3 linked regions of the Tribolium castaneum genome follow. The protein of the gene in region 1 purifies or fractionates together with the protein of each later gene. This does not show direct contact. Links are inferred from orthologs where the notes say so. Each region holds a gene or a part of one and is shown in the gene's direction. Other genes may lie near its edges. The genes, in order: Nop60B, H/ACA ribonucleoprotein complex non-core subunit NAF1 and pont.

Region 1 (11,083 bases):
AACAACCAGTGCATGAAAATTTATAATTGAAATCTTGTGATAAATAAAGGAAATAAAAGGTTCGTTTTTACGTAGTTAAAATGACGTGTAATGTTTATTGAACAAAAACTTTAGACCTAGTGATTATATTATGTTACATACTTAATCTGATTACTTCCCAGAAACGAACTTTGATAATCCTTCTAAAAGACCAATGTAAGCCGAGTGCTCATAAGATGTGCTGAAATCTGATAATTTTCCAACAAATTCGTTAGAGATTCCCTTTTCCTCCAAATAGTTAAGGATAAGGTCATACAAATACTGAAAATTGTAAAGCAGTAATAAAAAAAACTGTTATAATACTACATTACTTACGGTATCTAAAACGTCTGATGCTACTGCATAAACATTTTCATTCCATGTCCCATCGTACAAACTGATCTCATCGACTCTAAATATGTCATCTGTAAAAAATTGATGTAACAACTTAGTGTAAGTCAATCACTAATTTTATAAATAAAAGCTGAAACATTTTAATGCAAAATAATAATGCACTGTACAAAAAAAACATTGCATTTTCAATGTTTTCGTACGTTTTTCAGCCAGAAATCCAATCATTTCGCTAAATATTATTAAAAAAACAAGAGAAAAATACAGGGTTAATCTAAAAACGGTCATTGTCACTATAATCACATTGTTTTTGCCATTTATGAACGTTTTTCATCCAGAAACAAGATTTCACTTAAGGCATGTATGTGTATTATTAGAAATATTTAAGCCTTTTCTCAGTCAGAAATACAATTATTATTTTTAAATATCAGAAATAATTCAGGAAATCACTAACTTAGCTCGAACATAGCGTAATCTTTTTCGCGAGATTTAATCTGTTCATTATTTCGAAAAATTTCGTCACAAATCAGCCGACAAATCATCAAAATAATTTTTAGATTTTTTTTGTCATTTCTAACGTGTAAGCACGTTTTTGGACTTATTGTAAGATTTCGTTATTCAAGCAAGAATTAACTAAAAAATCACCCGAAATTATTTTGAAATGATATTTTTACATTTTGTCAAACGTGTAAGCATGTTTCAGAGCTAAAACCTCCAGTCTTTTTGCAGGATTTTGCTATAATCAAATCTAGATATCTCCATATGAAATGTTATTTCATCTTGTTTTATTCGCTTCATTTATTTTGCAAAATTTGGTCAAAACAATAAGCATCCGATTGCGAATAAAAGTAAAAAAAAACTTGTAAAAGCGTTACTAAAGCTGAGAATGGTCTAATTTTTCAAGCAAGAACGCAACTACTTCAAGAAAATTCGTCAAAAACAACAAAAACAAAACAAAAAGAGTAACCGATTGACCTGTACTAACTAAAAACACAATTTTTACATTTTTAAGCGTGTAAGCATATTTCTGAGGTAAGATCCCAATCTTTTTGCAAGTTTTCCGTAAAACCGGACACAAAAATCTCATAAAAGGGTAAGAATAATAAAATGTTTGCCTTTTCGAGATTTTTTTCTTTATTTTCCCCACAGTTTCGCTAGCTAAACAAAATTAGGTCAAATGTAATTATTTTTGCCAATTTTAACCGTTTTACCACGTTTTTCGTCCAGAAATATTCGATTGTTTTTCAAAACGTTGTAAAAAAACTTAGCTCAGAAATCACTAAATTAGCTTAAAAATAAGGTAATTTTTTGCGTAATTTCGCTAATATAAAAAAACATATGTAAAATAAATAGAAATAGTTTTATTGGTGTTTAAAAACAGTGCGTCATAACACGTCAATAAAATAAGAAACGTGCAAACTAAAAAAAAATCTACAAGTCACTGAAATTGCAGCGAAAATATTCATCAAAGTCATAGACACAGTTCCTAAATGAAAAATCTTTTAACTTTCTTTTAAAAACATATAAAGGTAAATTACAAAAATTAGTTGGCAACATATTATAAAATTTAAATAAAAGCGTTACTAAAGCTGAGAAAGGTGTTATTTTTACTTTTACTGAAGATTCCAAAACGTTTTTTAAACAAAAACGTAATTACTTCGAGAAAATTCGTCAAAAATAAAACCTATTGAGAATAGTATTTTTACCTTTTTCAAGCATGTAAGCGCGTTTCTGAGATAAAACCTTAATCTGTTTGCGAGTTTTCCGTATAATTGGACACAAAAATCGCAAAAGGTAAAAAATGATATTATTTTTACCAATTTTAACCGTTTTATTAGTACGTTTTTCGACTAGAAATATACAATTATTTTTCAAAACGTAAGAAAAAACATCGGAAATCAATAAACTAGCCTGAAAATAACGTATTCTTTCTAAATTTCATTAAACTTGTAGCGTTTTTGGGAGTTTTAACAGTTTTTATAAACAAGAAACGCATTTATCTTGCAAAGTTAGTTACAAAGAAGTCGAAGGATTACCGAACAAAGCCAAAATTAGATCAAAATGACATAATTTTTACCATTTTAGCACGTTTCTCGACCAGAAATATTCAAAACAAAAGAAAAAAGTTGTGAAATCACTAAGTCAGCCTAAAAATAACGAAATTTCAATAGACTAAATAAAAAATAGACTGGTGATCACTGTAGCGTTTTTGGGAGTTTTAAAACACAGTTATCTCTCAAAATTTGGTCACAATGAAGCCGAAAAATTACCAAACAAAGCCAAAATTAGATCAAAATGACATTTTTTTACAAATTTTAACCATTTTAGCACGTTTTCAAACAAAAAATATACAATAATTTTTCAAAACGTTATAAGAAAAAGCTGGGAAATCACTAAATTAGTCTGAAAATAGCGTACTTTTGAGAAATTTCGCTAAACTGAATAAAAAAATAGACTGGTGATCATTGTGGTTTTTTAGAAGTTTTAAAAAGCAGTTATCTCAAAATTTGGTTACAAAAAAGCCGAAGAATTACCAAACAAACCCAAAATTAGGTCACAATGACATTATTTTTAGCAATTTTAACCATATTAGCACGTTTTTCGACCATAAATAACAATTATTTTTAAGAAAAAATATGAGAAATCAGTAAATTAGCCTGAAAATAGCTGAATAAACTGAATAAAAAATAGACTTGTGATCACTGTAGCGTTTTTGGGAGTTTTAAAACACAGTTATCTCTCAAAATTTGGTCACAATGAAGCCGAAAAATTACCAAACAAAGCCAAAATTAGATCAAAATGACATTATTTTTACAAATTTTAACCATTTTAGCACGTTTTCAAACAAGAAATATACAATAATTTTTCAAAACGTTATAAGAAAAAGCTGGGAAATCACTAAATTAGTCTGAAAATAGCGTACTTTTTGAGAAATTTCGCTAAACTGAATAAACAAATAGACCGGTGATCATTGTAGTTTTTTGGTTTTTGGAAGTTTTAAAAAGCAGTTATCTCAAAATTTGGTTACAAAAAAGAATTACCAAACAAAGCATCAGGTCAAAATGGCATTATTTTTAGCAATTTTAACCATATTGGCACGTTTTTCGACCATAAATAACAATTATTTTTAAGAAAAAAGATGAGAAATCAGTAAACTAGCCTGAAAATAGCGTGTTTTTTTCCGCAATTTCGCTAAACTGAATAAAAAATAGACGATCATTGTATTGTTTTTGGGAGTTTTAACAGGTTTTCTAGATTACAAACGCAGTTGTTTTGCAAAATTTAGTTACAAGAAGCCGAAGAATTGCAAAACAACGCCAAAAAGCAGTTTTTTTTTCGAATTACAATCCTCCAAAACTAGTTGAAAAAAACACCAAATCATACTGACCATGATATTCTATTTGAGATTGATTTCCTCGATTTCATTCTTAATTGAGCCAAAGACGCATTTATTTTGCACATTCTTGTCTAATTATTGCCTTTTTTTGAGCGTTTCAAAACGTTTTTTCGTCAAAAACTTAATTATTTCGAAGAAAATCGTCAAAAATTAACCAAAAAAGGATGTATTAGAGCTAAAATCCTAAAATCTTTCAGTAAGGTTAAAACATCCCAATTTTTTGCGTTTTCGGGGGATTTAGGACATTTTGTTGCGAAAAATAAGCCGAAAATTTGCTAAATCAGGTTGAACTTTTTTCAGCTAAGGGCTTAGTTTATTCCAAGATTTCGCATATCTTCACAAAAATGCTATCATATATGATTTTTTAGTGTTCGAAGCGTTTTTTAATCCTCTAAAACCGAATAAAATTATCACCAAATGGCGTTTCATTCGATTAGATTTTGAGCCGAAAGTTGTGCAAAATCTTGTGAATTAAAAACAGAAGTGTCTTACTAGAATCTTCCTCTTGCTCATCACTTTCTAAAAATGAGCACAAAACACTGAAAGTGGTCGACCCTCGCACAATTTCAATTCGAAATTCAGGCTTTGACTTTAATTCTCCAAATTCTGGATTGTCCATCGTCGAATCCACTTTAGGTAGTTCATCAGAGTCTACTGTGTGGTTCACATTGAAAGTAATTTTTATCCTAGAAGTTGCCACTTCATAACAAGAAATGAGACGCATTTGACTCACGTTTCATTTTCAACTTTTTTGTTCAAAGTGACTTCAGACCCGTTCAACCCCACTTTAAAACCCTCAAGCTCGGCTGGAAGCGTCACCGACTTCTGGGCCTTCCTCTCCAGGACAATCTCCTCAGTGAGAAACTCAACCAGTTCACGTTCGGCTACAAGTTTGTTATTCCTCCAACTTATTGGGCTCACTTACGTACCTTTACTGTGTGCATGCTGGTGCCTGCTCATGCACCCACAAGTGCACAACTTGCTCAGTTTGTTTTCGGACTCATTGCGATTGCACATGTACCAAAGATTGCGCGCAAGTTGCCGCTGCTGGAAAGTGTTGGACACTTTTTTAACCGGACTCAGGAGCGTCTTGAAGCTGAGTCTGGACGCAACTCGAAGCAAATTATTCATTTTTATACTTAGTTTAGGCGAAATGCGTGAAAAAACCGGCCACAACACGTGCTATCAAAAAAACTGTCAGAAAAAAGCGACGCGCAACCCAACGCTACGAAAATCCCCAGAATGGCACCAACCCACAAACGATAATCACTAAATCGTCACCAAATTCCTCATAGGGTTGCCACACCTGTCCGGTTTTCACCCAGATGATTGTCCGGTGTCCAGATAAAATGTTAAACCGGACAATAATTGGCCAGTTTTCTTATAGTAATTAAAATTTTGTGGTCTAAAATTAAAATTAATGAAAAATTTAGAAAACTCTTCGATAGAACGATTTTTAATATTTAAAAAAAATCCTGGATTGAATTGGAAAAATGTAGAGTAATCAACTTCTAAAAATTGAAATTACATTTTGCAAACGGGTTACCGTATATAATTTTGCAAAAAAAACAGCTATAGAAGGGTACTTACAGTTGCGTCATATGTTATATTTCTTCTAAAACTATTGGCATTTTTTTTTAAGTTTTGTAATTAACTAACACATTCTGAGTTATTTGCCAAAAAGTTCGTAAAACTTTGCTAGAGTGAGTTTAAATTTTTTTTCTTAATTTTTGTGAAGGTAAGTGCCTTGATTATTAAAATTTTGAGCAAAAAATTTCAAAATTTTAAATGAAATAAAAAATGGACAATAGACTTTTGGTTTTTGATAAATATTTTTTTAATGTAAAACTTTATATGCCTCTGTACCTGGAACCGTTGACCGAAGCGGCTCCGGGTTTTGGCAAGAAAATAGATAATTTTAGGCGCTATCTGATGCTTTTTTGATTTTAGTTCTAAGTCTCAGTGTTTCCGAAAAAAAACACAAAAAAAAAGATTGCAATTTTTACATTTTTTAAATTTTTAAACACCGATTACAGCGCATAAAAACGCCAATGTTTACCAAAATAAAATAAAAAAAATAAAAGAAAAATCGTTTAAGACTCTAAATAACCGAAAAAACATTTCCCGCCATTTATTTCATTTAAATTTTTTTCAGTAGCGCCACTTAAAATCTGTCAAAATTGTTGTTAGTTGTCAAAAAACTAACCCTACTTTCTGTGTCGGATGCACGTGTTGGTTATTTTCTAAGCGATGTCTGAGTTTGGTAAGTTATTGTTTATTATTATCTTTAACGAGGCTTTATTTCGTTCTTTGATAAATAATTAGTGGTAGAAATGTATTTAGAGTTTCAAAAATAATGATTTTTTTCAAAAAACCGGCCGCTTTGTCTTATCGTTATTTAGAACGCAATTTTGTGCAGAGGCGGATACGCCCGTTAGGGAGAAGAAAAAGAAGAAAAGCAAGGGCGACAAAGACTTGGGGAACCTTCAAAAAGGCTCCGAATTTGCAGTGGAGCCCTCCTCAGTGATTGCAAAGTTGGACAGTTCCAAGTGGCCCTTGTTGTTAAAGGTGGGTTTTAAATTCGGTTTTTCGTTACATCAAAGCGTGATTTGCAGTATTTTGACCGTTTGAATGTGAGAACGAACCATTACGTACCTTTGCCGTTTGGTTCTTCCCCTTTACGAAGGGAAATTTCCGATTATGTTAAGTCAGGTTACATTAACCTGGACAAGCCCAGTAATCCAAGCAGTCACGAAGTTGTAGCTTGGATTAAAAGGATTTTGAAAGTGGAAAAAACAGGTCATTCGGGTACTTTAGATCCGAAAGTTACAGGTATTAAACTATTTAATTTAATTGAAATCATGTATATTTAATAATTGATTTAAGGTTGTTTAATTGTGTGCATTGAACGCGCTACCAGACTGGTTAAATCCCAGCAAGCTGCAGGGAAAGAGTACGTGGCTGTGTTTAAATTGCATTCAACTGTACAGGGAGGGACCCCAAAAGTGCTCCAAGGGTTGGAGAAGCTCCGAGGGGCCTTGTTTCAAAGACCCCCATTAATTTCGGCCGTTAAGAGACAGTTGAGGGTTCGCACGGTCTATGATAGCAAATTATTCCAATATGATGAAAGCCGAAATATGGGTAAGATTTTTACCAATACAAAGGACTAAAATTTTGGAGAAACACGACGCTCTAAAATGCAAAATAATGACCCTTTCGATTTTTCGTTTTTCATCATTTCGTGAAATATTTGCTCGAAAAAGTAAAAAATATTGATTTTTTTGGCACAGCTTGACAAAATTTTGCAAAAAAAAATAACTTCTTAACTACAGAACGTGCTAAAATGCTTGAAAAAAAATATATATATCAATATATCGGTAAGTATTTGATTTATTTTTGACGATATTTCGAGAAATAACTTTGTAAGGTGTCTGAAACTAGTGATGTTAGGCTTAATCTTGGCAAATTTTTGTGGAAATTTGCATTTCTGCGCCTGAAATGTGCTCGAAAAGACAAAAAACGTAATTTCAGTTCTCTCAAAGAATGCAAAAATAATCCTAAGATTTGCGGCTCTGGTGGCCGATTAATTTTTGTCGAAATTTTGAGAAATAATTATTATTATGAAGGTGAAAAACATAATATTTAGTCCAACTTAATGATTTTTGGTACAGGTTCATAAAAGAAACTAATGAATTTTTAATCTCAAAAAGGTCATAATAACACCATTTGGGATCTACTTGTAATACCTGTGACTTCGGTTTATTTTTGATGAATTTTTGAGAAATTAATTATGAAACTTTTGAAAAAGGCGAAATAATATCACTAATTGCAACCGAATTTAGTAATTTTTCGGTTTATTTTTTGCAAAATTTTGTGTTTTTTGGGTTTAAAAAATTTTGCTCTTATTTTGTAATTGTAAATTTTTAATTCAAAAAAGGTGTCAAGAAAACTGGGAAATTGTACAGAAAACCCCATTTTTAAGGCGTAACAGTGACTTTTCAGTTTATTTTTGACAAAATTTCGAAAAATATTAAATTTGCTAGTAAAAAGCATAATGTTATTTTTAACAGAATTTAGTCATTATTTGACTTATATCGTGCAGAATTTCGAAAAATAACTATTTCTTATCTAAAACGTCCGTGAAAAAGTAAAAAAATCATTTTCGGACTAATTTAACTAGCTAAAACTTTCGAAAAAAGACATTTCTGAGTGAGTTTAGTGACTTTTTGGCTTATTTTAGGCAAAATTTCATAAAATAATTGCGTTTCTGGGTCCCAACGCGCCTGAAAAGGGCAATAAACGTCATTTTTGGTCTTATTCATAAACAGTGTGACAAAATTTCGAAAGAAAATAGAAGTTTTTAACTAAAAAATGGGCGTAAAGGCCCGAAAAATTTTATAATTAGTATTTTAGGGAAAATTTTTGTGAAATAATAGTTTCTGTATCTGAAACGTACTCAAAGAAGGTGAAAAATTTCGTAAACCCCAAATAATACGTGCTAAACCTTTAGAAAACGACAAAATGGTGTAATTTTTTATTGAATTTTGTGATTTTTCGACTTTTTTTGAGACAGTTTCATGAAATAAATTATGTCTATCTCTGAAACGTGTTCGAAAAAGGCAAATTTATCATTTTTTGTTTGGTCCAATTTAGTTGCCTGACAAAGTTAATAAAACTTGTGAAGGTGAAGTTGACGATCGCCCAAAAAAAGTCTCAAAAAGACAAAAATAACGCCATTTGGCAAAATTTAGAGAAACAGTTACGTGTTTAGCTCAAACATTGTCTGAATTTCGCTCGAAATTTGTACTTTTTAACTTATCTTTATAATTTCGTAAAATACTTGTGACATTGGGTCTCAAACTTGTCACAGAAATGAAGAACACGTCTATTTTAGTGAATTTTTGACACAGTTTGACAAGATTTTACAATAAAAAACAGAAAGTTTTAACTCAAAAACGTGATAAAATATTCGAAAAAGTATGTTTTGACGAAGGCAGAAGATTGTCAGTTTCATCAAACTTTCTGGTTTTTGGCTTGTTTTTACCAAAAGTTCGTAAACCAATCTGAAAATCGCTTAAAAAGACAAAAACGTCATTTTTGATTTATAATTTAGTATGTTTTCGTACAGTTTCACAAAATGTTTCAAGGAAATCACCTAAAACGTGCTAAAATTCTTGAAAAATAAATACTAAATAAAATAAATAAAGAAATAATGCCAAGTGTACATTTATTTCTACTTTGTATTTTTTTTTCTTATGTTCTCGTGGAAAGTTTGACCTTCAATTTTTCCCAGCTTAGCAAAAATTAAAATACTAATTCCCCTATTTTTTTTCAAATTGCATTAACTTAAGGGTATAAATTAAATGCAGAGTATTTTATTTAAACAACAAGTATTTTTGTTCAGAAAAAATGATAAATTGATAAAGGCATGGTAAAAATAAGAAATGTATAGTAAAATAATAAATGTACAGTAAAAATAATAAATGCACAATAAAAATAATAAATGCACAGTAAAATTAATAAATAGTAAACAGTAAAAATGATAGATGCTAGGTAATGAGCGTTTATTATTTAAACTGTGCAAACTGAAATAGATACTGTGCATGGTTTACTTCTCATTTAAATTTTTTACTGTGCAAAATATTAAACCACTCATTAATGTGCAAAAATTAATTAAATACACTGATCATTTATTATTTTTTACTCATCAAAATCGAATTTATTACTGATTAGAACAGTTAATTAGAACAGTTTGGATGCCTAAAGGGCCTAATTTTAGTCCTGTCTTTTTTAAACTTTGAAAATGTTTAATTATTATGCATTATTTTAGGCGTGTTTTGGGTTAGTTGCGAGGCTGGTTCCTACATTCGTACAATGTGTGTTCATTTGGGTTTGGTTTTGGGCGTTGGAGGCCAAATGTTGGAACTTCGAAGAGTTCGTTCGGGAATTCAGAGCGAACAAGATCAAATGGCCACAATGCATGATGTTTTAGACGCTCAATGGCTTTACGAGAATCACAAAGATGAGAATTACCTGCGACGAGTGATTCGGCCTTTGGAAGGCCTTTTGGTCAAACACAAAAGGATAATTATGAAAGACAGCTCGGTAATACATAATTTCCCACTAACTTATCAATTAACAAACAAAACTTTTCTACAATAAATGGCATAATTTTAGGTAAACGCGGTTTGCTATGGAGCTAAAATTTTGCTACCGGGTATTTTACGCTATGAAGACAATATTGAACTTAACGAAGAAATTGTTATTGTGACCACTAAAGGGGAAGCCATAGCACTAGGGATTGCACTGATGACCACTGCAACAATAGCCAGTTGTGACCACGGAGTTGTCGCGAAAATCAAACGTGTGATAATGGAACGAGACACTTATCCAAGAAAATGGGGCTTGGGACCACGAACAAGCCAGAAAAAAATTCTTATTGCAAAAGGACAGCTCGACAAATACGGAAAACCGAACGAAAATACGCCCAAAGAATGGCTAAATAGTTACGTTGATTATTCGTAAGTGTTTTTAATTTTGCGCAAAGTTTAAAAACAATTCAATAATTTTTTTCCAGTGTTAAGAAAGAGGACACCAAGGACGATGAAGATGATAAAAAAGTAAGACGTTTTTTCGTTTTATGAGCAATTCATTGTTTGTTTTCAGCGTAAATTAGCGGACACGTCAATGCAGTCCGATACAGCGAGTCCGAAAGAGAAGAAGAAGAAACGGAAGAAGGTCGAAGGTGAGGAAAGCACTGTTGAAGAAGCGACAGCAGTGTCAGAGGAAACTGCTGAAGATAATGGGGTAAATGAGACAATCAATTATTATTAAATTACCTATTGCACTGTTATTCTTACAGGAGGAAAAAAAGAAAAAGAAGAAAAAGAAAAAGGATAAGAGTAAAGATAGGGAGGAAGAGGAAGCGGAATGAACTATTTTGTTTTGCATTTTTATATTGTAGCTCTACAATACTACATTAATAGAATTAAGTTTAAATTCTTTCTAAGATAAACACAGTCGTGTTAAGCGAAAATAAATGCAATTTTATCGTACAGGCTTTGATTTTTCCAGTTTGATGTAGTGGTACAAGTGCAAGAAATTTGTAGGTATACCGGGTGTCCAGTTTGGTAATTCTATATTTTTTTTGAAATGGTACATTTTTAGTAATATTTATGACACTGGTATTTGAGTAATGGTTCATTTTTTATTTTTTTCGATAATACTCCATCTTTCAAGTAAGTATAAAACAATGAAATCAAAAAAATATTGATAATGGTTTTACTTTTCTGTTTTATATATTTTTTTCATAGTCTG
Region 2 (10,946 bases), on another chromosome or scaffold:
TGAAGAACTTGCCCAAGGTGGCTGTCCTAGTTAGGGGTAATTGGGTGGTGAAAAGTGAAGTGTTGTACCCCAGTAACACGTTTTCTTCAACTAGTGGGGTCCCCGCTGAGTTGATGTGCCGGACACGGGATTATGTGGTAAAATAAAACAATCGTCTTGTTTTTATCATGTTTCAGTGTTTTCTTCCAGTTGTATTTATTCACTAAAAATCAGTACGTTGAGCGGAAAAAGGTCTCCTCGGTGATGAAGATCCCCTCGGAAGAGGTGAAGGAAATCTTCACGGGCTTCTCGCGTCTTCGTCATAATAAAGGCTGGGAGTTGGTGTTGCCCACTGATAACGATTTTATCTTGAAACATGGCGATATAGTGCAAAGACAGGGCGAGGCGTGGGAACAGAAGTTTAAACAGTTGAGTGAGTTTTTAAAAGACAATAAACGGCAAAGACGGAAGAGTAAAAGTGTGAGTGAAGATTGTAAAATGCGGAACGGAGTGAGTTCGGATAATGATTCCGGGACGGAAAAAAATAAATCGCCGGTGGCGGCTAGGAAAAAAATTGCCAAGGTGCAGGAGAATACGTCGTGATTGGGGCTTTCGACGAGTTGAAATGGCTATAATGAGGATTTGTATATCTCGGGACGGGAATACAGGTAAAAATGCGAAATGTAACTCGTTAAATGACTGTAATTTGTATTCGTTGGAAACGAGAAAGCTGCAAAATGTTAAATTAATTTATTATTAAGACGAAATAAAGAAATACTTTTTTAATCAGTTGTTTTTTTACACATACACTCCTCTCATCCTCGACCTAGCTAAAGTTCCACAGTTTTTGTCTCCAAAGTTCGCTAAATCAAGTTTTGAGCGCTACTTTAAAAATTTTGAGCCAGTAATTCACTTATTTTGCGAGGTTTTAAAAAGTTACGAATTCAAAAATATATTCAAAAAAACAATATGTAACACCATACATAAATAAAAGATATAAAGAAACATAAATACAAAATACAACAAATACTTTTGTGCGTATAGGTGATTTCAGCCAATGACTCAGCTCGTACCTGAGTCAATAACTTCCTTATCTTAAGAAATTTCACTAGAAAACATAAAGAAATCGACGAATTATGTCTAACTTTCGTTATTTCAATAAAATAAATAATCTAACTTTTGTGTGACTGCATTTGTTTTTTTAATATCCAGCATTTTTCCTAGCCTTCGAAAAAAAACATAATTGGACAGCGTTGACATGACAATAAAATTTTACAAAGTAAAACCGCCAATAAACAAGAAATTCAAATTCTAGTTAAAATTTATGCCAATCCGACTTCCTCTCACAATTATAGACGAATCTAATTTTGGAGCTATCGCTCAAGGTTTTGCTTAAACATCTGCTAATACTTATTACGTAGAAATACTCAATTATTTAAAACATCAACTGGAGTCTAGCTGTTGCAATTCCGCTTCCGATACATTTCTGTTGGGCAAAAATTTCACTGATTTTTTGCCCCACTGCGTCCGTTTTCCATTCTTCATGTTCCCATCTTTTTTAATCCCAATGTACCAGTCCGGATGATTTTTTGATACATATCCGTTGTACGAACCTTGAAGGATTTCTTTAAAAATGGCCCCGTCTTTATTTTTGTCTTCCTATGAAAGCATCGTTTCAAAAAATTGTTTAATTATTTAATAACAAAGTTGGTCCACGATCTCATTTTGCGAAACAAACTTACTTCCGCGTACAAATTTCCCGAATCGTCAAAACACAGATACCGTTTACTCTTCGCTCCTTGAATCCTGACATGGGAAATCTCCCCACTTGAACTAACAACCAGGACATTGTCTAAATTATCATCCCTTGTGCCCAAAACGTGCCCATCATCTTGTATGGTCAAATTAAACCCATTTTCGGACCTGAGTCTCATTACATTCCCATGCCAGCTTGGCTTTTCGTCCATTTTCAACTTCTAAAATTCACACTTCGATGTAATCAACGTAAACACTGAAATCAGTTCAAGGAAACAATAAAAAAATGAAACGAAATTACAAATCTGCCAATATTTATTGTTAAAAATGAGTCACGTGTGGAATATTACACAAATGTGAGTAAAAAATATAACAAATGCTAATACTGTTTTCATTGAAAGCGAGATCTGCGCGGTAAAAACTTGATCGCCTTTTGGCCGTACTTGGTCTTGGGCCCGCGCTTGAACTTCCCCGATTTTTTTATCCCGATGTACCACCCCAAATGGGCGTACTTTAGGGAGAGATAGGTGTTGTAAGAGCCTTGAAACGCCTCGATAAAAATGGTAGAATTGTCCGTCATGTCTGGCTCCCCGTACAAGCGCCCTTTGGGGTCCATGGCGACGTAGAGGTTTGTCAAAAGGCCCTTAATGCGCACGTGGCCCGGGTGCCCAGCCGACATTACCTCCAAATAAGCTGCAAAAGCATATTATATTTTTTCTACAATTTTTATTACTGTGCAAGTCGTCGTCGTCGGGGGTTCCCCGCACTTCGCCGTCCGGATAAACGGCGAGGTTGTGTCTAGTTCTGGAATAGAGCTGCATTTTTGTGCCGAAAAGCGGGTTTCCGAAGTGGACAGGGCGCAATTGGCGCCAGTTTGAGTTGGGATTGGAGGGGGGCCAGGAAATTTGGGGCGCGGAAATAGAGGCGTGTGAACTGGGAGCGTCCTCCACTCCGCACCTGCACAAAAATTTCTGTTATTAAGGCAATTGCAAATATAAAAATTTATTAAAATTAAATTATGTAATAAACTTTGACAAAAACAACAAGGATGATACGTTTCTTAACTTACCTACAGGGTTATTCATAAATATGCAGCAATAATTTAATTTTAATTTTTTTCTGAATGTTATAGTACATTTTGTGCTACATCCAACTTTCTTATTTTGAATTGGAAGATTTCTTCTGTTCCTTATTTTTTTCACCGTTTTGTATATAATGTTGTCTGTTATTATCTTGATCAATTAGCCCTTGATTTATGTAATTTAGTAACGGTGCTATAAAAGTCGCGTTATGAAGTGTAATAATTCAACAAATTAAGCGATGATTCACCGTCAAAATTAATTTGTTATTTTTTTAACTCAATCAAAAATTTATTACAAACTTGAGTCTTAGGTGTGGGAACTCAATCAAGTCTATAAATATTTACATTTCCGAGTCAATTTCTCAATCAATGTTTAAATATAGAATCACTTCAAAAATACTGGAATTCGTAACAGAAATCCATTAATTAACTCACCACGCAATTCCCCTTTTCGTCCTATTTTTCACATTTTTTCCTTCATCGATCTCATCACTGTCACTCAAACTTTCAACATCGGTACTATCACTGTCACTAGTCCCGTTTTCCATGTTTTTGCCGATTGTTAATTAAAACCAACAATGGGCACACGTTTGTAACAATTCAAAAATTGAGCCGGTGTAAGCAAAACACCGTAATTTCCGTCAATTAGTTCAGACGTGTTTAAAATTCGACTGTTTTCGCGTTCTTACTTCTAATTTCTAATTTTCCGCGGTTATAAATAGAATTTTATTCGGCGGTTACGAGACGATCATAAATCACAAATTTTTGATGTTTTACCTTAAATTTTTGTGCCCAGGATGATGACGGTAGCTTGTTATCAAGACAGGAGCCGCTGATAACAAGAGTAGATTTATAAATCGATTATAATTTTATTTATTGTCACCAGTATTGCTGGTTGCCTAAGCTAACACAAAAACTGTTTGTGTGAATATACAGATACCAAATTCTTAAGACCGCACCTACCCATAAAAGATAATTCTTTAAATAGTTCAACAACAATTTGAACAGTTAGATTGTTTATAACATTAATTATTGCATTATAGGATCATAGGTTCTTTAGGTATTAGATATTCTTCGGAATGGCTCATGCTCATACACATAATAATTAGCACATTTATTAATGCGTTATAACAGACTATAGACGGATTATAGTAAATATTGTCCGCTTTTTTTGTAAAAGTAGTGATTGTGTAAGGGGTGGCGTGCACTATCGTTGCAAGCGCCCCTTTAGCTGGCCTTGAAGGCCGGCCAATGGCGAGGCGCAAATTGGGTCACGTGCCGAAAGTTTCCACTGCAAATGGCGGCTAGCAAACATGAGAACATCCACATGGCAGTAAAATCGCAAAATCCGCTTAAATGTTCGCAGTATTCCTTACCATAACAGTGATTAATTGTTAGTTTACGTTAAATTCCGATCATCCCTTATCACCTCACAGCATGTCAAACGAAAATAAGTGCGAAAACATGGACAACCAACAGGGAGAAAACGCAACGAATTTATCAAATTCCACTAGTGGTAGTGCAAAATAGCAGTTTTAGGCACAGTTTTCACGCGTTTTTTCCAGTGTGTGAAGCTAATACGGGTGTTGCAATAAAAAACATCGAATCTGATGCACTGGACCGTCTTTTGGTGTATGACAGCGACTCGAGCTCTTCCTCCGAAATGATGAAGCTTAATCTGAATTGGAGGGCTCAGGAGGGGTCCGAGGACTCGTCCAGTTCCTCGTCTTCGTCTTCGGAGGATGAGGAGGACAGTGAAACGAGTGGGGACGATGATGATGACGATGACTCACAGCCCATTGAAACAACGACACAAAATAAGGGGGCTATTAAGAAAAGCCCACCTAAAGTCAGTGATGAACTAGGGATTGAACATTTGCCCCCGGTTCCGGACTTGTCATCGCTTCAAATTAACGTGGAAAATGAGAGTTTTGTGCATATGGGAAATGTGTTCGGGATTGTGGATAAGTTAGGTAAAATGAAACAGCAGTAATGGGTTCTGACGTAATTTACTGTTATCGTTTCAAATCGGTAACAATGCAAGGCTCATTGTAAATAGAATATTTATCAAGTGATTAACAACTTAAATTCTACTAAAACTCGGATCAAATCGGCGATAAAATTGTTTTGCACACATTATTGGCCGCTGTCTGAAATATAATCACTGGAAAACTGACCACGAATATAAATTTGTGTTTTTTTACTGCAAAATAAAATACCCAAGTTATTGTTTTATAATTTCAAGAATATTTCAAATTCTTCATCAATCAAGGAGGCTGTGCTTGGGGCGTCTAACAAAAAATATTTTTGATTTTTCAATAAATATCTACAGCCAAACAAAAAGTTGAATACAAACCTTGTGTGTTAACTATTAACTAATTAATTAATTTTTTTCACGTAAAATTATGATTACCAAACTGGCTTAGAACTAACTTAACCATGGAAAAAATAAAACCTCAGGTAAAATTAAAAATTGCTTCTTTTAGGCAAGGTTAAATATTCATAAAGTTTGAATTAGCTTTGGCGATAATAAATTGCAGTTTACATATCTACATTATCGAAAAAATATGCTAATAAAATATTTATTGAAAATTTTGAGATCTGCTAAATTTACAAAATTTAGTGTTTGACTCATCAGTCATCAGGAAAACTGATTATTTTCCATTTATGACGTGTTCCTTCTACTATGAAAAACCACTTTTCTTATCTCTTTGCACTATCTATTAATATCTATTATTTATTTATTGAGGAAAAAGCGCTGTTATATTAAAATGTAGAGTTTTTTTTACAACATATCAGAATTTTTTTAATTAATAATACGAGTTGATTTTTTTGAATGGTGTAATTCGTGCCCTTTCGAGAACATTATTTTAGCTTTTTCATCCAAAATTGTTACGATTAATTAATTTTTTTTTTGAGAAATTTTGTTGGTTTTTGAACTACCACTTAACTTCTTTTGTAGTTTTATTTCTTTACTTTTATTAATTTATTAATTTGCCTTCTAAGCGCCCGACTTGTTTTCTCTTTTGTTTTTGACATATTTTTTATAATCTTATTTATCTTAATATAAAATCGAAAATTGCGTTAATTTTTTCCAGTAACTATCGCGGCCCTTCCAAACACTCCAGCGTACGACTTGGATACGCTCCTCTTCCTAGACAACGGCAAGCGACCTCTAGGTTTCGTTTTCGACGTTTTAGGCCAAGTCACTTCCCCTATCTATGCCATTCGTTTCAATTCACTTGAAGACATAAAAAATTTACAAATTGAGATTGGAACAAAAGTCTATTCCGCACCTACAAGCAAGCACACACAATACGTTTTCCTTCAACAGCTGCTCAAGTGAGTCATAACAACCCGACTGTAAAAAATAGTAATTTTTTTCTATAGAATGAAAGGTAGTGACGCTTCCTGGATGGACGACACGGAAGTCCCCCCCGAGTTCGCCGATTTTTCCGACGACGAAAACGAGTGTTACCAGCGATACGGTAATAAAAAACTAGCTCCTCACGTGAAACGCACCCACAGTAGCGACAATTACAAAAAATTCGAGACGACAATGAACCGAAAGAACATCCTCAATACGAAATTTAACAAATACATGGATTCGTACAAGCAGGCGCGCTTGAACAAAGCTAAATCGAAACGGCCACAAGCACCCAACATCCACACGGCTGTGCCCATGTTCGACCCATCGGTGCCGCCACCCAACATGGCACACTACCACCAACCCATCGCCCAGTACGTTGGCGTCGAAAACAACAACATGGGCCCTAGTCTCGGATTCGCTCCAAATTTTTTCATGAATAATTTCGTTAGCAACTCCGCAAGCTATCTGAACCATCCGGGGCCCTCGCACCAATAGGAATTTCGACTTTTCTAAGTTTCATGCCATGTAAAAGACTGTTGTTGTTTTACCATATAATTGAGAATGTTCAGTTGATTTGTGTTTCGCAACTTGTTTCTATTATTTCTAATAAACGTTTAAAAGTTTGTTTTTTTTCAATCTCGCCTTTAACTTCGACAGCTGTCATTGCAATTGGTGGCAGTAAAGAATTGTGATTAAGTGTAATGTAACAAGAACAGGTCGCCAGGAGCCACGATAATTGTACCTCAACGGGCTTGAAAGAGCAAAGTGTTGCCTTTAACTCAGAAACAGGAATTTTAAACCTCAAGTAGCTTCTTTTTTAGAAAAAAGTTTCATTCCATGCAAATGACTGTTGTTTGTTCAGTAGATTGTCTATTACTTCTAATAAACATTTGTGTTGGCATCCCTTGCGCCGCGAAACTTTCTCCAAGTCGCGGCAGGCTGTGATACGCACACCACGGCTTACTGCGATCGCGACGAAATGTCCCGCTTCGTTCTATTATCGCTAGGTAACCGTGAAAAATCAGCTGTTTTTTCCTATAAACGGTGTGTTGTGTTTTCCCGCGAGCTGGAAAAATTCTTCCACGTGGTGGGATTCAGTTGCTAGGAGACGTGAGTCGATTTTTTTGATAAAGAATTATTTTGCGCTGATTCGGTATCTTTTATATTGTCACCAATAAGGTCATCGCAGATGCGGAAACGCGCGTTTGACCTCCATTGAAAATTGTAAACGATTTTGAATTTTAAAAATCGATTTTGTTACATAATGAAGGCCGGCGCTGCTGTGCGCTTTGACCTTCTTCATTGTCTTCGGTCTAGTCAAAATTCAACAACTTCTAATAATAACCGCGAGATTATCTTCAATGGGTGAAAGATGAGCGCGAGAGCGAATCGCAATTGATCATTTCTCACGATTTCGGACGGAAAATGCCACATTTTCACGCTTTATATTCAAATCGGCAGCTTGTTGCCTATCGGAAACACATCGAAATGGACACTTAAGCCAGTTATGCTAATTTGCGACTCACTAGTTTCAAGTGACTTAAAATAACTGAATTTTGTACTTCGCCTTGCCACAACTAGGGAAACAAGCTTTGTGCAGCAGAAAACAATAAAACAGAGAACTTCCATTATTTACAATATTTTACATAGGTTGTAGCAAAGAATTTTTTGGTTTCTACCAAAATTTTGGTAGAAATTATTTTTTTAAACCATTTCACACAAACAAAAATTTAAAATATTTGTTACTAATTAGCTAGAAACTTCTTTAAGCTGAAAATAATTTTGTTTTATTTTTCAATCGATGCCTGAAAGAAAAAATTCCACCATTGGCAGGGACCTTCAAAAAATGGTATTCTGAGACATTTGTTTTATTTAATTTTTTTTATTGTTCATTTATTGCTGTGAAATTTTGGGATTTTTTATTATTGGCGTATTTTCTATAATGGTAAAATTACCCTAATTTTGAAACTAAGCCGAGCTTTGTTTCCCTGTCCTTATCTTTTCGTAGATTTTTTGTTGATTGAAATTATCTAAAATAGCGCATAGCCACTTCCTGCCCCGGTATTTCCCCCGCAGTTTGACCGATTCGGCCTGAATTTTTACCCGAAAACGCAATGTTTTATCGCTTGATCAATACCCTCCAAAGGGTTTCGTGTAATCAACTTATTATTAATTCCCAATTAAATTAGATTGTCCGGTCCTGGATTAATTCAGAGCCACTACCCCAATTAAATTGATTGTAGCACGGCATACTCTCTCTAATCATTAATTTTATTGCTTCCCTTGCTTGCTATCCCCCTGTGTGATGCCAATAAATAAATCGAAAACGACGTTATTTATTGCTTTCCTTGTCCCATATAACATTATATGCGGCAAATTGCACATAAACGATACATTTACGAGAACACAAAAAATAATCACGCTTTGGGTGTTGCTAATGCATACTTTGAGACTACTAAGTGAGCCCCTTGAGGACACAGCACTTTTTAAGGTAAAACACCTCGATTTTCAAGGTAGATCAAAATTCTAAAAGGTAGATCAAAAAGTCTAAAATTTGAAGGTACGAAGACAGCCCTTTCAGAACACTCAATAATTTCAAGCAAAACACCCTGCTTTTCAAGGGTAAACAAAAAAGCAAAAAAAAAAACGTTAAAACACCACCGATTTTCCAGGTAGTTAAAAAAACATCAAATAATCATAAAAACACCCCGATTTTCACGGGTGAACAGAAAAGCAAAGAAAATCGTTATAATATCCCGATTTTCAAGGGTAAGCAGAAAAGCAAAAAAAAATCGTGAAAACACCCCCATTTTTAAAGGTATATTTTAAAATTAACATTTTTCAAAGATTTTGCCCTATTTTTCTATTGGCCCACTTCAGGGCATCAGTTATTAACCTACCACTCAGCTGTTCCGCGAATTTTGGGACACCTGTATATATCCAAACAAATTTGGTTTTCAACAGTGTATTGTTACGAAAATGTGTGTCGCTGTTAAGACGAGTCAGCACTTTGCTGGCTCGCTATTAAACTAATATTAATTATCGGGGATTCGCGTGTGGGCCGCCAAGAGCTGGGACTTCGTCCTGAAAGACCTAGCCCCAAAAAGGTAGGCATGCTGTATTGACATTTATTTTTACTTGTTAACTAGTCTGTAAGTAAACTTGTTGATTAGACCTCTCGGTATTTTTATTAAGACGCCCTACCTCTGAGCAAACCCCCAGTCACTACGTGACAGTATTAAAATAGCTATTTACACTCGAATGCGGTAATATCCTAGCAAGGCTCACATACCATGTTACAGACATTTTATCCAAATATTTTAATAATACGCCGAATGATAAACTTGTGTAAAATTTCGAATTGGTTTGGTTGAATCAATGACATTTGTGGTTCCCAAACGTATGTATAGGTGGCGCTGTTCCGGGGGGATTTATATTTTCACTAATTAAATATACACCATGGTCGATTGAATTAAATAATTATAGGTAACAAGTATTTCGTTATACGAACTTAATTATGGTAAGCACGGTTTGTACCTTAAACATGTCTAATCGTCCAGTGTTTTGTGGTTACTTTACCTAATTGTTTGCTACCAGTTTACAGCATCGTGTTTAAAGGTCAAGTTACCTTTTATAAATGGGCAACTGTCATTCACGTTTTACAGTACTGGAGGCCAAAAAAATATATTATAATTTACACATTAATTTATTATATCAAGTAAGTAACAAAATAAATTTATTATTACTCAGAATTTCCAGAATCGGAGCTGAAAAAAAAACAAGTACGCAGATAAAAAATTATACATAAAAAATTTCATAAATTCATTTACATACAAAGTTTATGTATATTTTTCTTTATAGCCACTTGTAAAAATTAGTAACTGTTGATAAGGATTTTACCTAATGACAGTAATTGCTTCATAAAAATCTTCTTTCGCCTGTGCGGCTCCAAATATTAGTTTCACCGTTTCACCACATTCCAACTCCAACATTATGCTGGTCGTTTCCGGATTGCTAATTCGGGAGATATCACCAAATCGGATGTATCGATTTTTTTCAAGAGTCTTATCAATTTTCACCCTATTTTTACGTAATTCAATGCGAATTTTTCCATTCAAAACTTTGTTACAGTCTCGTACAAACCGGTAAATTTTAGATAAAGGAATAAATTTTGTAATAGTTTTTTCATCTTTTGTTAACAACCATCTCTCTAAATATCCTTTATTGAATGCAGAATTATTTGTGATTTTTGAAATAATAGTTTTTATATCAACGTCTAAATAGTTAAATTTTACCGATTTATCTTGCGCCTCATATTTGTATTGAGACGTATCTGCTGAATCTGCTGTGTCTGGATACCAACACAATTGTGATGCTGAAGTATCAGAAACATCTCCAGAAAATTCAATCAGATTTGAAATTAACGTAGCAACGCCCACATAATGTGTTTCTTCTATCAATACCTCTTCATAGAATAGTCTCACATAGTCAAAATCATTTATCCCATTATTTGATATAGTTGCATAATTATTTGGATTGTTTTTAATTTTAGATTTAACAAAAATATAAGCACCTGATAAATGTTTCCATCCACTTATATTAGTTTCGAGCGTATACTGTTCAAGTTCTTTCACATTGATATTACTTTCTCTTATTTCATTGTAAGTATAACTTTTTGTTGATTCATCGGTCACAGGCATTTCATCAATACGCCATAAATTGTCCACATCGCTTTCCATTTATTTAAATAAAAAGAAGTCT
Region 3 (11,079 bases), on another chromosome or scaffold:
TAAACATTCAAGTTGCAGAATTAATAATTTTGAAAACTTGACACATTTTTACATAAACCGCTTATCGCGCACCTAAGAAAATCGTGATTTCTAGTAAAATAAAAAAATGCATTTTACACGTCTGACTGTACTCTCGAAAGGTATCTCCCCTAATTTTTTGGTAATTTTTACTTACAGATAAAGATAATAATTAACCAAAAAGCAATTTTCGACCAAAAAGTTAGATTCTGAAGTTTATTCTTAACCACGCATATTCACTTCAGATAATTGTTTACGAAATTAGCGAAAAAAATACCAATCAGATTTTGAATTAAACGCACTTTTACACTTTAACTTTAAAAATCAGTTTTATTTATGAGCTGCTACTTGTGGCGTCGTAAATTTAGGTGACAATGTGAACTGTAATAAGTGGGGTAGGATTGTAAAAGATTTCGTTGGGATATTTGAATGCAGACATCAATTTTTGTCAATTTTATTGCAAGACTGTAAATAAGGTACATCAAAAAGATCGGCTAATGGTAAGTGATCCCTTTGGCCGATTATTTAATCAACCAAGTAGAAATTTATAATTCTGATACCAGGGTTCGATGGACTAGCAGGTAAGAATACACTTAGTCTCAAAACTTTGTATAGTTAAAGTATAGTTAAATTAACAGTTAGTGCCCAAAAACTTACAAAACGGTTACGACTTTATTACCAAAAAATTTTTAAAAAATCGAGAATGATCCTTATCAATATACAAGCTGGTGAGTAAAATTTCAGGATTCTCATTTCATTAGAAGTAGCGATTTTCTTGGGTATGCAATAAGGTTGCCTCACCCAGCATACAATTCAGAATTGTATCAATTATTAATACACTATCATTAACATTGATAACTTAATAAAAAATTATGTTTCGTTTTCAAAATCTTTGCTTGAAATTTTCGTAATATTTCAAAGTAAAATGTTCAAATCATTTTTTAATACAGTGTGATTCAGAGACCCCCGGAACATCGCTTGGGTGGTGTTAAAACACATCTGAGATAAAATTTCTAATACAAAAATGATTTAAACTTTTTTTACGAGGTGAAAACTCAATTTATAATTAAGCAGTAGATCTTCCAACATTAAACAGGCAGAACTACATACCAAACTCAATAATACCTAAATTAAATACGACAACAAAAGAATAATTAATACAGTGGTTACGGAAAAACAATTAAACTTTTTATCACCATTTGAGACTTGACTCGACCCTCTGTATTTAAATATTTATTTCTCCACAAAGCATACTTCATAAATCATAATACGATTGATAAACATTGAGGTAAGTACGAGTATACAGAGTGTTAAGCCCAAAATTATGTCAATTAATATTTTTCTTTTTTGCCATTCTAGTTTATTTTGTCATTGTGAAATTATCAATTCTGAATATTTTACACTTTTAAATGGATATCTCAATACCCAATTCAAAACATATTCAACGGCCTTGATTAAACAATGCGTTTCCTTTATCAAAATCTTAATACCAACTTGTATTTTTCTAATACTCTAAAATGAAAAATTCAAAAAAACGTACTACCCACCATAAATACTAGAGGAAGGAGTACTTATTTATAATAAATCGTATTAATAAGTGCTTTGGTTTCCATGTTGCTAATTGCAAAGTGATATCGTCATTGTGGTCGACACAGTGACCCAAACAAATGTTGTGTACAGACGAAATTCATCGATATCGTGAAACTTAATAGACGGGATTTCATATCGATAACGATGATTTTTGTGACGATTTCAAAAAGGGACTTATTAATCCAGATCAATCTGTTTAAAACTTTATAAAGTTGTTCCGGATCTCTTCTCTAGCCAAGATAACAATTTTTAGTTAGTTATTTTTATTTAAACGTTCACATTCCAATAGAACTCAATATCAAATTTTTTTTATTGCAATTTACATACTGGGTGAGGCAACCTTATAAAATACGCGTGGTTTAGTATAAAATTCAGAATTTAACTTTTTGGTCAAAAATTACTTTTTTTTTAATTACTATCTTTATCTGTAAGTGAAAAATTACCAAAAAATTAGGGGCGATACCTTACAATCAGGCGTGTAAAATACAATATTTTTTTTATTTAACTAGAAATCTCGACTTTCTTAGGTGGTCGATAAGATTGCTCACCTGGTAGTATTACTATAAAATGGAAAATGTTCTGAATATGTATTAAACAAGCAGTAATTTAAACAATCATCCATAATCATTAATCGCCCCCGAAAAGGGTTATCCATGATAAATGCCACATTCGTAGGCTGAGAATCAGTTGCAGGTGGGCTGGTGTCAATTTTTAAACAAGAAATTCGTTTGTTGTGGTAGTAATAATTGATATTGCATACAGTTTTTGTGTGTATTTGCATAACAATTTTTTAATAAATTTAAGAAGCACCATATAGTTGTTTTTCTTCGTCAACCGCATTTCGTACTAAAGCAGGTAGCTAACAAAAATATGTAGTTTAGAAACTGTACTGTAAGAAACGAGTAAATAATAGGCGTATATCTCGTGCATCTTACTAAATGTGAGAACTATTTTGGAACAGAAAAGTAATCTATTTTGCAAAATTTTACAAATACTTACACACCGAAATTTACGAAAATTTACAACTAATAAAGTACTATGTATTTAATTTTCATTAAGTCTCATGTTAAATGTTAAAAGTGTCGAAATAAAATACCTAATAGATACACGTACTTTAGTACTCTTACAATACCTGTCTTTTAAAATCGAAAATAATAATAGTAATTCTTTTCTTCATGGTTCAAAGTCCATGAGATTCATTAATTTTGTTCCATTATAAAAAAATGTAATCAACTTGTTAGACAATGTGTCCTTGTAAAACTCGTATGGTTTTCTGCACTCATTAAATTAAAAATTTAACATTTCATTCGTACTTTTTTGAGCAGAATTTAACTACAACCTCCTAAATAATATACCTATCTAATTAGTAATTATCTGAAGTCATTTTTAAACGCACATTTGTAAAGTTCTCATTCATTAAGTAACAATTTTCATGTAAATGATTTATAAAAAAAACAACAAACTCAGTTTACAATTACATGACACGTATTTTAATGTTTTAGTTCTGTAACGATTAGGACAAAATATAATTTATTTCGATGTAATAATTTTTACTCCCCAAAACTGTTAATTCATTGTAAACAATACGCTATCACAACTTTTTTATGTTGTTGCTATCAACACAATGATAATTTCTAATTTATTCGCTAATATTAAATCCGTCTGTACTTTTTTTCAAAACTTAGAAATTGTCAATAAGACACGTTTGCCGTAACGTAATTAAACAAAATCTCTAATCTTGATTGTTTTGAGAGAAAGGTAAGTACATAGTTCATTAAAATAATAAAATTTCCATCAGCAAATGAGCACAATTCTCATTAAAAACGATGCACAATGCATACATTTACGTCATTCAGAGCTTAGCAACTCTCTACGTATGTTTACCATAAAAAATCGCAATGAATAATCCAGGTCTGTATACAGATATCCAATACAAGGAAACAAAATATTACATAATGGCAATGCGAAGCAATTTATGAAACACGTGTTATTAAAAAAATACCAACTGTAGGGTGAAAGCTGTGTCAACAGCAATATCACAACGGTAAAATATTGGTGGTATTTTTCCTCTTTAGATTCAGACAGATAATGAACCCCTCAAGGTTAATGAATTTTAATTAAATCGGTGACTTTATACAAATATCCAGTCACGATGATAACACGGTAAAAAAGCAAAAATATTTCTACCAAAACCGTTGGCTAAGACGGCATAAATATTTGACGCCTTTACTTAATCACATAAAGTTCAGATTCGGAATGCAATTACATAACCTCTAAGCTTCCTTAACTGAAGTAACCAACAACTCATTGTTCGATTTACCTTTCTATTTTCGTTCCATTATCTATCATCCATAAATCACACACAGATCTAGCCACTAAACTCGCAGCTACAAGGAATAGAAATCCCGCCTCAGGTGAAGTCCATCCTGGGATAATTATTCTAAGTAGGTGATTAAGTTGCTTAAGAAATTGCCTATCAACTTGCGCCTTAATCCTATTTTCTTTCTTCTCAGATATAAAATATTTCACTTCTTCATCCACGGTTTTCCTGACTTTTCTCCTAGAACAAAACCGGAGTCAAACAAGTCTCGAAGTGGGGTCAATTTTCATACCTGTCCAGTTTGTACAAATTTTTTCTTCGTCGTGATATTAAAATCCATAATAAAGCTGTCGATGCTCCAGCGGCTGCAAGAGCATTGTTTCTTGTCACATATTTGCTAAAACTGGGTGCCATTTTACTTCATCTTTTCGCACTTTTCACAAGAAGTATTGAGTGATCGTGACCAAGCAGTTTTCCGATCAATTGTATTTGTTTCCACTCACTCATCCACAAACACTGACACCTAACGTTTAAGCAGACTTTACCAAGTATTTTACTGATTTTACTGAGCTCCAGTCAGCGACTGTCATTGGAGCTTCGACCGATCACATGATTTTGGCCGAACCTGCAAGACAGGGACAGCCGCAATTTGAGAAAGAGACAACAAACACGCCAAATACTCACCTGTGGAATGCATTAACCGATCGTTAAAATCGAAAGGATTCATTAAAGGAAAATTAGAAAGTTTTCCATTTTGTGATAATTGACAAATGGCCGTTCTGTCATGTTGAGCTGACATGCCATTTCTCAGGTGTCTCAGGTGACTCGATCAATGTAAAATTAAATTCGCAATTTCTTTAAAATTTGACTAGGTCATAGTATTATAATGAAACATTTCAAAAATCACTTTGTGACTGCTGAGTTCGAACAGAATATTAAAAACGATTTTTTAATCAAAAATGAATTTGAAATGGTCACTATGACCACCCCAACGCTCCAAAATTCTCCAACCGGTTGTTGCCATACCAACATCACAACAATAAAACTCAAATTGATCAAGCAAAGTTTGGTTAGCGTGTTTTCCAAAAATGAAGATTGAAGAAGTGAAAAGTACGGTGAAAACGCAACGAATAAGTGCCCACAGCCACATTAAAGGTTTAGGGTTAGATGAGAATGGTTTCGCGTTGCCAACAGCGGCCGGCTTGGTCGGCCAAGAACAGGCTAGGGAGGTTAGGTTTGTCTTTTTTAATCAGAGTTCGGCTAAATTCAGTGGTTTCAGGCCGCAGGGATTGTGGTGGATATGATTAGGAGTAAGAAAATGGCCGGACGGGCTGTGCTTCTAGCGGGTCCCCCTGGGACCGGTAAAACTGCGATAGCTTTGGCCATCGCGCAAGAACTGGGTAATAAGGTGCCCTTTTGCCCCATGGTGGGGTCCGAGGTTTACAGTTCTGAGATTAAGAAGACGGAGGTGTTGATGGAGAATTTCCGGAGGGCCATAGGGCTGCGCATTAGGGAGACTAAGGAGGTTTATGAGGGGGAAGTTACTGAATTGACTCCTGTTGAAACGGAGAATCCTGCTGGAGGTTTTAGTTTTTAGACACTTTGACAATGTTCTATATATTTCTTTTGGTTTTGTAGGGTATGGAAAGACAGTAAGTCATGTAATTATTGGCCTGAAAACTGCAAAAGGTAGCAAACAACTGAAACTCGACCCCAGTATTTATGAAGCCCTTCAGAAGGAAAAAGTCGAAGTAGGTGACGTTATTTATATTGAAGCCAATAGTGGGGCTGTTAAGCGTCAAGGCAGATCTGATGGATATGCGACTGAGTTTGATCTAGAAGCTGAGGAATATGTACCGCTTCCAAAGGGGGAAGTTCACAAAAAGAAGGAGGTGGTTCAAGTATGTATAATCCGCTCTTAATATTTTTGGATAAACGGTAGCTCCGTGTTTTTTTTCAAGTTTCAAGACAAACTGAACAGTACAAATAAATCAACAAAATTTAATCATGTTTTTGAAAAATTGCTAAATTACTCACACATACATTATTTTTGTCTTAAGACAATTTTACACTTGTGACAGTTATTTTTAAGAGATTGGTGTTGTCACGTAAAGTTGTTGCAGAAATAATTAAATATGGTCAAAAAGCCCATTGTTTTTGACGTTTGTGGAGTATTAGCAATTTTTTTATCCAGAAACGCAATTATACAGGGTGTTTCATATAATTTAAATGCCACCAACATTACATTTTCTCTGGATTGTTCACCCTTTTAAAATTTATTACGGTTTTAGGTAGTTGATTTTTTTAGTATTTTTTTAGTTTTCGCTTAATCTAGCAAAATTATATTAATCAATCTTAAGATTACATTATGTTTACGTTTCTCGAGCATTTTGTGGTCAGAAATAATTTTTTTCGAGACGTTTGGTCAAAATTTCACATTATGTGAAAAACCTTGTTTTTGCCATTTTTGAGTTTTACCAAATTGTTTTCAAAGGAAACACAATAATTTCAATACATCACCGCATTGTGTTATACAGCGTGATTCAAAAGTGACGAATAAACGCTCGTATAGTAAAAAACGAAGTTTAGTTAAGCACAAAAATGAACTCAAATTTTTTTAAGCAAAGTAATTTTGATATATTTTTAAACTGTTTTCCTTAGGTATCCATTTTTGCTATTTTGTTTGCTATGATATCGAATTTCGTTTCCGCTAACTAAAGTCAAAAAAAATATCATCTGATGCACCAATAATTTAACTTAAAAATTTAACTTTGAAGAGCTATATCTCGTGAAAAAAGACTCAAACACTTTTTTGTCATAGGAACTTTTAATTCAGTTTGATGTCTTTTATCAGCACCCCAGAGATTGTCCCCTGCCTTTGAATCACACTGTATTTAAAACTGTTCCAAAAGTAAAAAATCTGATTATTTTATCTTTTTTTTTTTTTCAACTAGAAACTCATTTTTTCCCGGAAATTAAATTTAAAAATAAGCCGAAAAAAAAGCACTTTACATTGTGAATGTGCTATACATTTGCCTTTTTAAGTGCTTAAGTACTGTGCTAGTTTTTTTTTCTTTGGAACTGGTCCAAACTATGGTAAAAAATTGTAGTCTAAATAAATAATATTCTTCAGCTTTTTTAATTACACTAATCAGCGTTTTCAAAAAAAGTAATAATAAAGCTTACTCTAATTATAAACTTAAATGATCACAATGTACTTTTTAAGGCTAAAAACTTAGTTGCTTTCGCTAGACAAGCAGAAAACGACAAATGTTTTTCGAGAAATTTCGTCTGCATCAAACTATGTTAAACGTCTTTAGCAAAATTTTAGTCAGAAACTCAATTAAAAAAACTCTACATTACGTTAAAGAATGTGTTTTATTTTAGCATTTTTTTGACTTAAAGACTCGCATAAAAGTTAATAACTAAGTCAAAAAAAATTTATTTTGATTTTGTAGGCAAAAAAGCAATTATTTGAAAGAATCTTGTCAAAAATACGCCGAATAAACCCACTTTAATTTGAGGATGGTGATATATTTTTCTTTTTTTGAGGATTTAACTACTTTTTTGTTAAAAATCCCGTTGTTTTTCGAGATTTAGATTAGGTAATCAATGACATTATGTGTCCCATTTTATTTATGGACATTTTAGATAGGTTTTTCTAGTCAAGGCATTGTAATTATGTCGCGAAATTTCGTCAAAAATAAGTGGAAGAAATACTGAAATGAAAGAAATATATAAACAAGGTAATTTGGCCTCTTTCAAGCTTTCAAAACATATTTTCGATTTAAAAACTCAATTATTGCGAGATATTTTTCTAAGATGGAACAAAAAAATCGGTAAATTATACTAAAACTAATTTTGTTTTCGATTTTTTTAGCTCTTGTTCAGGTGGGAAAGCAATTAATGTGAGGAATTTTTTTAAAAATAAGCGGAAAATTCAACAATGTGTATCTAAAAAATGTGCTATTTTAGCCTAGTTAAAGGCTATTGCTTTATTACTTTAGCGCAATTTCAATTTTTATAAATTGAGAATTTATAAATTCGTATTTTTACAAAATGAATTGCACTTTATTTTTATTTAATTTTGCTTGATAATCAATGAATTTTTACTTTTTTGAGCTTTTTTTGTTTATTAATTGCGAAGCACATTCTGGAGAATTATGCAAATAAGTATATAAGTCAAAAAAATATTTTAAAATCTTCAGTCCAATTTACGTATATAAAAGTCGTGCAGTTTCTTAGCGCCCACACTCTAGTGTAAATTTCTAAAATATCTTAGTGACTCTTGAATCGGTTAGAATTGTTGAAATAGTGACTTACACCAGCGAATTATACCCAAATTACACCAGGAAGTGGCCGCAAAGAAAATAAAATTGCTTTAGAGAGTGGAAAAAGTAAGAAACAAATTATTTACTTTGATTTACATTTTTTTAGGACGTAACTCTCCACGATTTGGACGCCGCAAATGCTAAGCCTCAAGGAGGACAAGACGTCCTCTCGATGATGGGCCAACTTTTAAAACCAAAGAAAACCGAAATCACCGATAAACTTCGGCGTGAAATAAACAAAGTCGTTGATAAATACATTGACCAAGGCATAGCCGAGCTAGTTCCCGGTGTACTTTTTATTGATGAAATCCACATGTTGGATATTGAAACTTTTACTTATTTACACAGAGCTTTAGAAAGTGCCATTGCACCCATCGTTATTTTTGCAACAAATAGAGGGCGCTGTGTAATTAGAGGCACTGATGACATTGTGGCCCCTCACGGGATTCCACTGGATCTCTTGGACCGTTTGGTAATAATTCGCACGTTGCCATATTCCAGATCTGAGTTGGAACAAATTTTGAAATTGCGAGCTTCCACAGAAGGCTTGGAAATTGAAGCGGAGGCACTTTCGACTTTGGGCGATGTGGGATCGAGAGCCACATTAAGATACGCAGTACAATTACTTACTCCCGCGTCTTTAACGGCCAAAACTAACGGCCGAGATAACATTACTAAAGCTGACGTTGAAGAAGTTAGTTCTCTATTTTTAGATGCTAAGTCTTCGGCTCGAATCTTGTCCGATAACAAAGAAAAATTTATGATGTAACTTTTTAAATAAACCATTTTTTGATATTTTGTGTTTTTTTGGGCTGACTCCAGTCCTGGCTAGATTCAAACCTGGCGCGTTTCGTGAAACCAATCCAAACCGGCCAGTTGTATATGTGATGATTTTGCGCTCTATGATTGGATGAGAGGACAGTAAACTCTTTCGTCATCCAGCGTGGTGCGAGCTGATTGGACACATTTCGGTGTAAACTCTTCTAGAATCCGGTCTTGTCATCATTCGGAAATTGGTTTTGATTTGTGGTGTCACGTTTGTGCCGGTGTTGTTTCTGAATGAATTAAAAAGGTCCATTTTTGTTGAAAACATGAAGCAGTTGATTGTTTTAGCGATAAGTTTGCTGCTTTTAATCGGTAAATATAAAAATTAGTTGGGGTTGAGTTGTTTTCAATTAATAATTTTAGGATACACACGAGCAGATGAATCTATTGGGGAAGGAACCGTGGAAAAGGTTGACCTGGACTTGGGGGCTAGTAGAGAAGGGTCAAGAACAGGTAATTTAACGTATATTTTCATAATTCATTAAGTGTTCTCTCACAATTGGATTTGTTTGTTTGGCAAAGTGGAGTCGTCTGTCGGACCTGTCCAGATCTGTTAACTGCACTTGATACCAGCCATATCTGTAAAAAATGCATTTATTTAAAGTTAATTTAGCTACAAATCGTAAAATATTTACAGAAAAATTGACATATTTATTTGTATTGGACGTAGTTCATATGGGGCGTCTACATAAAAGCGTGGTCAGGAGTGCTATGAACAAATGTTAAAAAAGGGTAAATTGTGTTAAAATATTGTTAAATTTGCCAGATAAGTGACGGGTATTGACATTTTTATTCATCATATGTTTATAAATTTTTCAGAGAACTTTCGACCATGTTTTTATTTAAATTTTTATTAGTCCTATTGATTGTTGGTTACGTTAATTTGATTTTTACGAAATTGTTATAACACCTGATTAGTATTTTATCTTTATTATTCTTAGGCTGCACGGTGTCAAAATGTTTTTAGTTTTTTATTACGTTATCATGATAAAGTAAAACTAACTTGTTTTATGTAACCTCATATGATAAAAATATATACTTACTGCAGTTTACCTTTGATTTTCTGTGACTGGGTTGTGGTATTTTTCTCTGGGTCCTTTTACATCTAAATATTCTAATTGTCTTTTTAAATCATCGTTTGTGCATTGAAATTCAGCTTCATTTTTACAATAAAACTTTGGCGTAATTGTGCTTGCTGCAAAAATTATTTTTATTAAAAAAAATACTGAAAATTTTCATCGAAATGAAACGAAAGTAGTATTACGGTGAAATCTTTATAATCCGAACAAATTACTACAACATTTTTTTCCGAGCATCAAACTTTGTTTAATGACTATCGACTGTTTACTTGTTTTCTTTATTTTTTTTAATAAAACAGGTAAACTGAAATATGTATTTCTTTTAAAAAATATACGGAGTGAACTTGTTTTATTACTGTATCTTCAAAACCATAATAATCACTCAGAAATCAGTTTCTATAAGGTACGGATATGTACTTAATATTTTTCTCTGTGCATGCGAAATTTTTTTACAAGTATTTCCTATAATTCAAAATAAATTATTTATTAAATAATAATTGATTAATAAATAATAAAATTTCGTTAATTAATATTTTAATATGCATTTGTATTTTATCAATATTTATTTTAAACATTATGGTTCAAGTATTCAGTTACAGTCCGGGACATTTCTATTTGGACATAAAAAATTTGAATTTTCTGACATTTATACGTGTATTCAGCGTCTATGTGAACAAAAAATTGTTCTCTCTCTCATTCTGTGGTCCTTGAGCTTTAATAACAGGGACATTTTTTAAATTGGTAGCATTAGAAAATGACAGTAAACAGCTGACTGATGTAAACAATAACACAATAACAAAGGAAATGTTATAATTTTAATCTATATAACCAGTGGCTGCTTTAAAAGTGTGTACTAACGGGATAATAACATATTTACGCAAGTATTTTTGAAGGTAGAAACATTACTTGTCATATA

What was found.
Region 2: the proteins of Nop60B (region 1) and H/ACA ribonucleoprotein complex non-core subunit NAF1 purify together in Homo sapiens (co-immunoprecipitation; 7 studies listed by BioGRID and IntAct, counting the BioPlex papers as one, with this or other methods). This does not show direct contact. The link is inferred for Tribolium castaneum from reciprocal best matches to the Homo sapiens genes DKC1 and NAF1.
Region 3: the proteins of Nop60B (region 1) and pont purify together in Homo sapiens (affinity purification with mass spectrometry; 4 studies listed by BioGRID and IntAct, counting the BioPlex papers as one, with this or other methods). This does not show direct contact. The link is inferred for Tribolium castaneum from reciprocal best matches to the Homo sapiens genes DKC1 and RUVBL1.

The regions. Positions count from the first base shown.
Region 1 is NC_087394.1:7,762,617-7,773,699, forward strand, and holds Nop60B (H/ACA ribonucleoprotein complex subunit 4), read left to right. Parts: upstream 1-5,912; 5' UTR 5,913-6,016; coding exon 6,017-6,029; intron 6,030-6,185; coding exon 6,186-6,334; intron 6,335-6,381; coding exon 6,382-6,598; intron 6,599-6,652; coding exon 6,653-6,907; intron 6,908-9,596; coding exon 9,597-9,871; intron 9,872-9,943; coding exon 9,944-10,287; intron 10,288-10,343; coding exon 10,344-10,386; intron 10,387-10,432; coding exon 10,433-10,573; intron 10,574-10,628; coding exon 10,629-10,700; 3' UTR 10,701-10,821; downstream 10,822-11,083. Other genes in the region: GPHR (Golgi pH regulator), read left to right, coding at 1-26; P32 (complement component 1 Q subcomponent-binding protein, mitochondrial), read right to left, coding at 151-300, 355-443, 4,259-4,452, 4,500-4,650, 4,696-4,897.
Region 2 is NC_087399.1:2,908,469-2,919,414, forward strand, and holds H/ACA ribonucleoprotein complex non-core subunit NAF1, read left to right. Parts: upstream 1-4,083; 5' UTR 4,084-4,252; coding exon 4,253-4,331; intron 4,332-4,380; coding exon 4,381-4,788; intron 4,789-5,913; coding exon 5,914-6,157; intron 6,158-6,205; coding exon 6,206-6,680; 3' UTR 6,681-6,808; downstream 6,809-10,946. Other genes in the region: Polr3E (DNA-directed RNA polymerase III subunit RPC5), read left to right, coding at 1-137, 190-582; fibroblast growth factor 1, read right to left, coding at 1,423-1,638, 1,722-1,946; fibroblast growth factor 1, read right to left, coding at 2,126-2,427, 2,468-2,691, 3,251-3,363. UniProt on the Homo sapiens protein: RNA-binding protein required for the maturation of box H/ACA snoRNPs complex and ribosome biogenesis.
Region 3 is NC_087395.1:13,828,406-13,839,484, reverse strand, and holds pont (ruvB-like helicase 1), read left to right. Parts: upstream 1-4,936; 5' UTR 4,937-5,016; coding exon 5,017-5,157; intron 5,158-5,207; coding exon 5,208-5,511; intron 5,512-5,566; coding exon 5,567-5,829; intron 5,830-8,365; coding exon 8,366-9,028; 3' UTR 9,029-9,054; downstream 9,055-11,079. Other genes in the region: Abcd3 (ATP-binding cassette sub-family D member 3), read right to left, coding at 3,929-4,168, 4,221-4,342; Gp93 (endoplasmin), read left to right, coding at 9,351-9,396, 9,448-9,537. UniProt on the Homo sapiens protein: Possesses single-stranded DNA-stimulated ATPase and ATP-dependent DNA helicase (3' to 5') activity; hexamerization is thought to be critical for ATP hydrolysis and adjacent subunits in the ring-like structure contribute to the ATPase activity.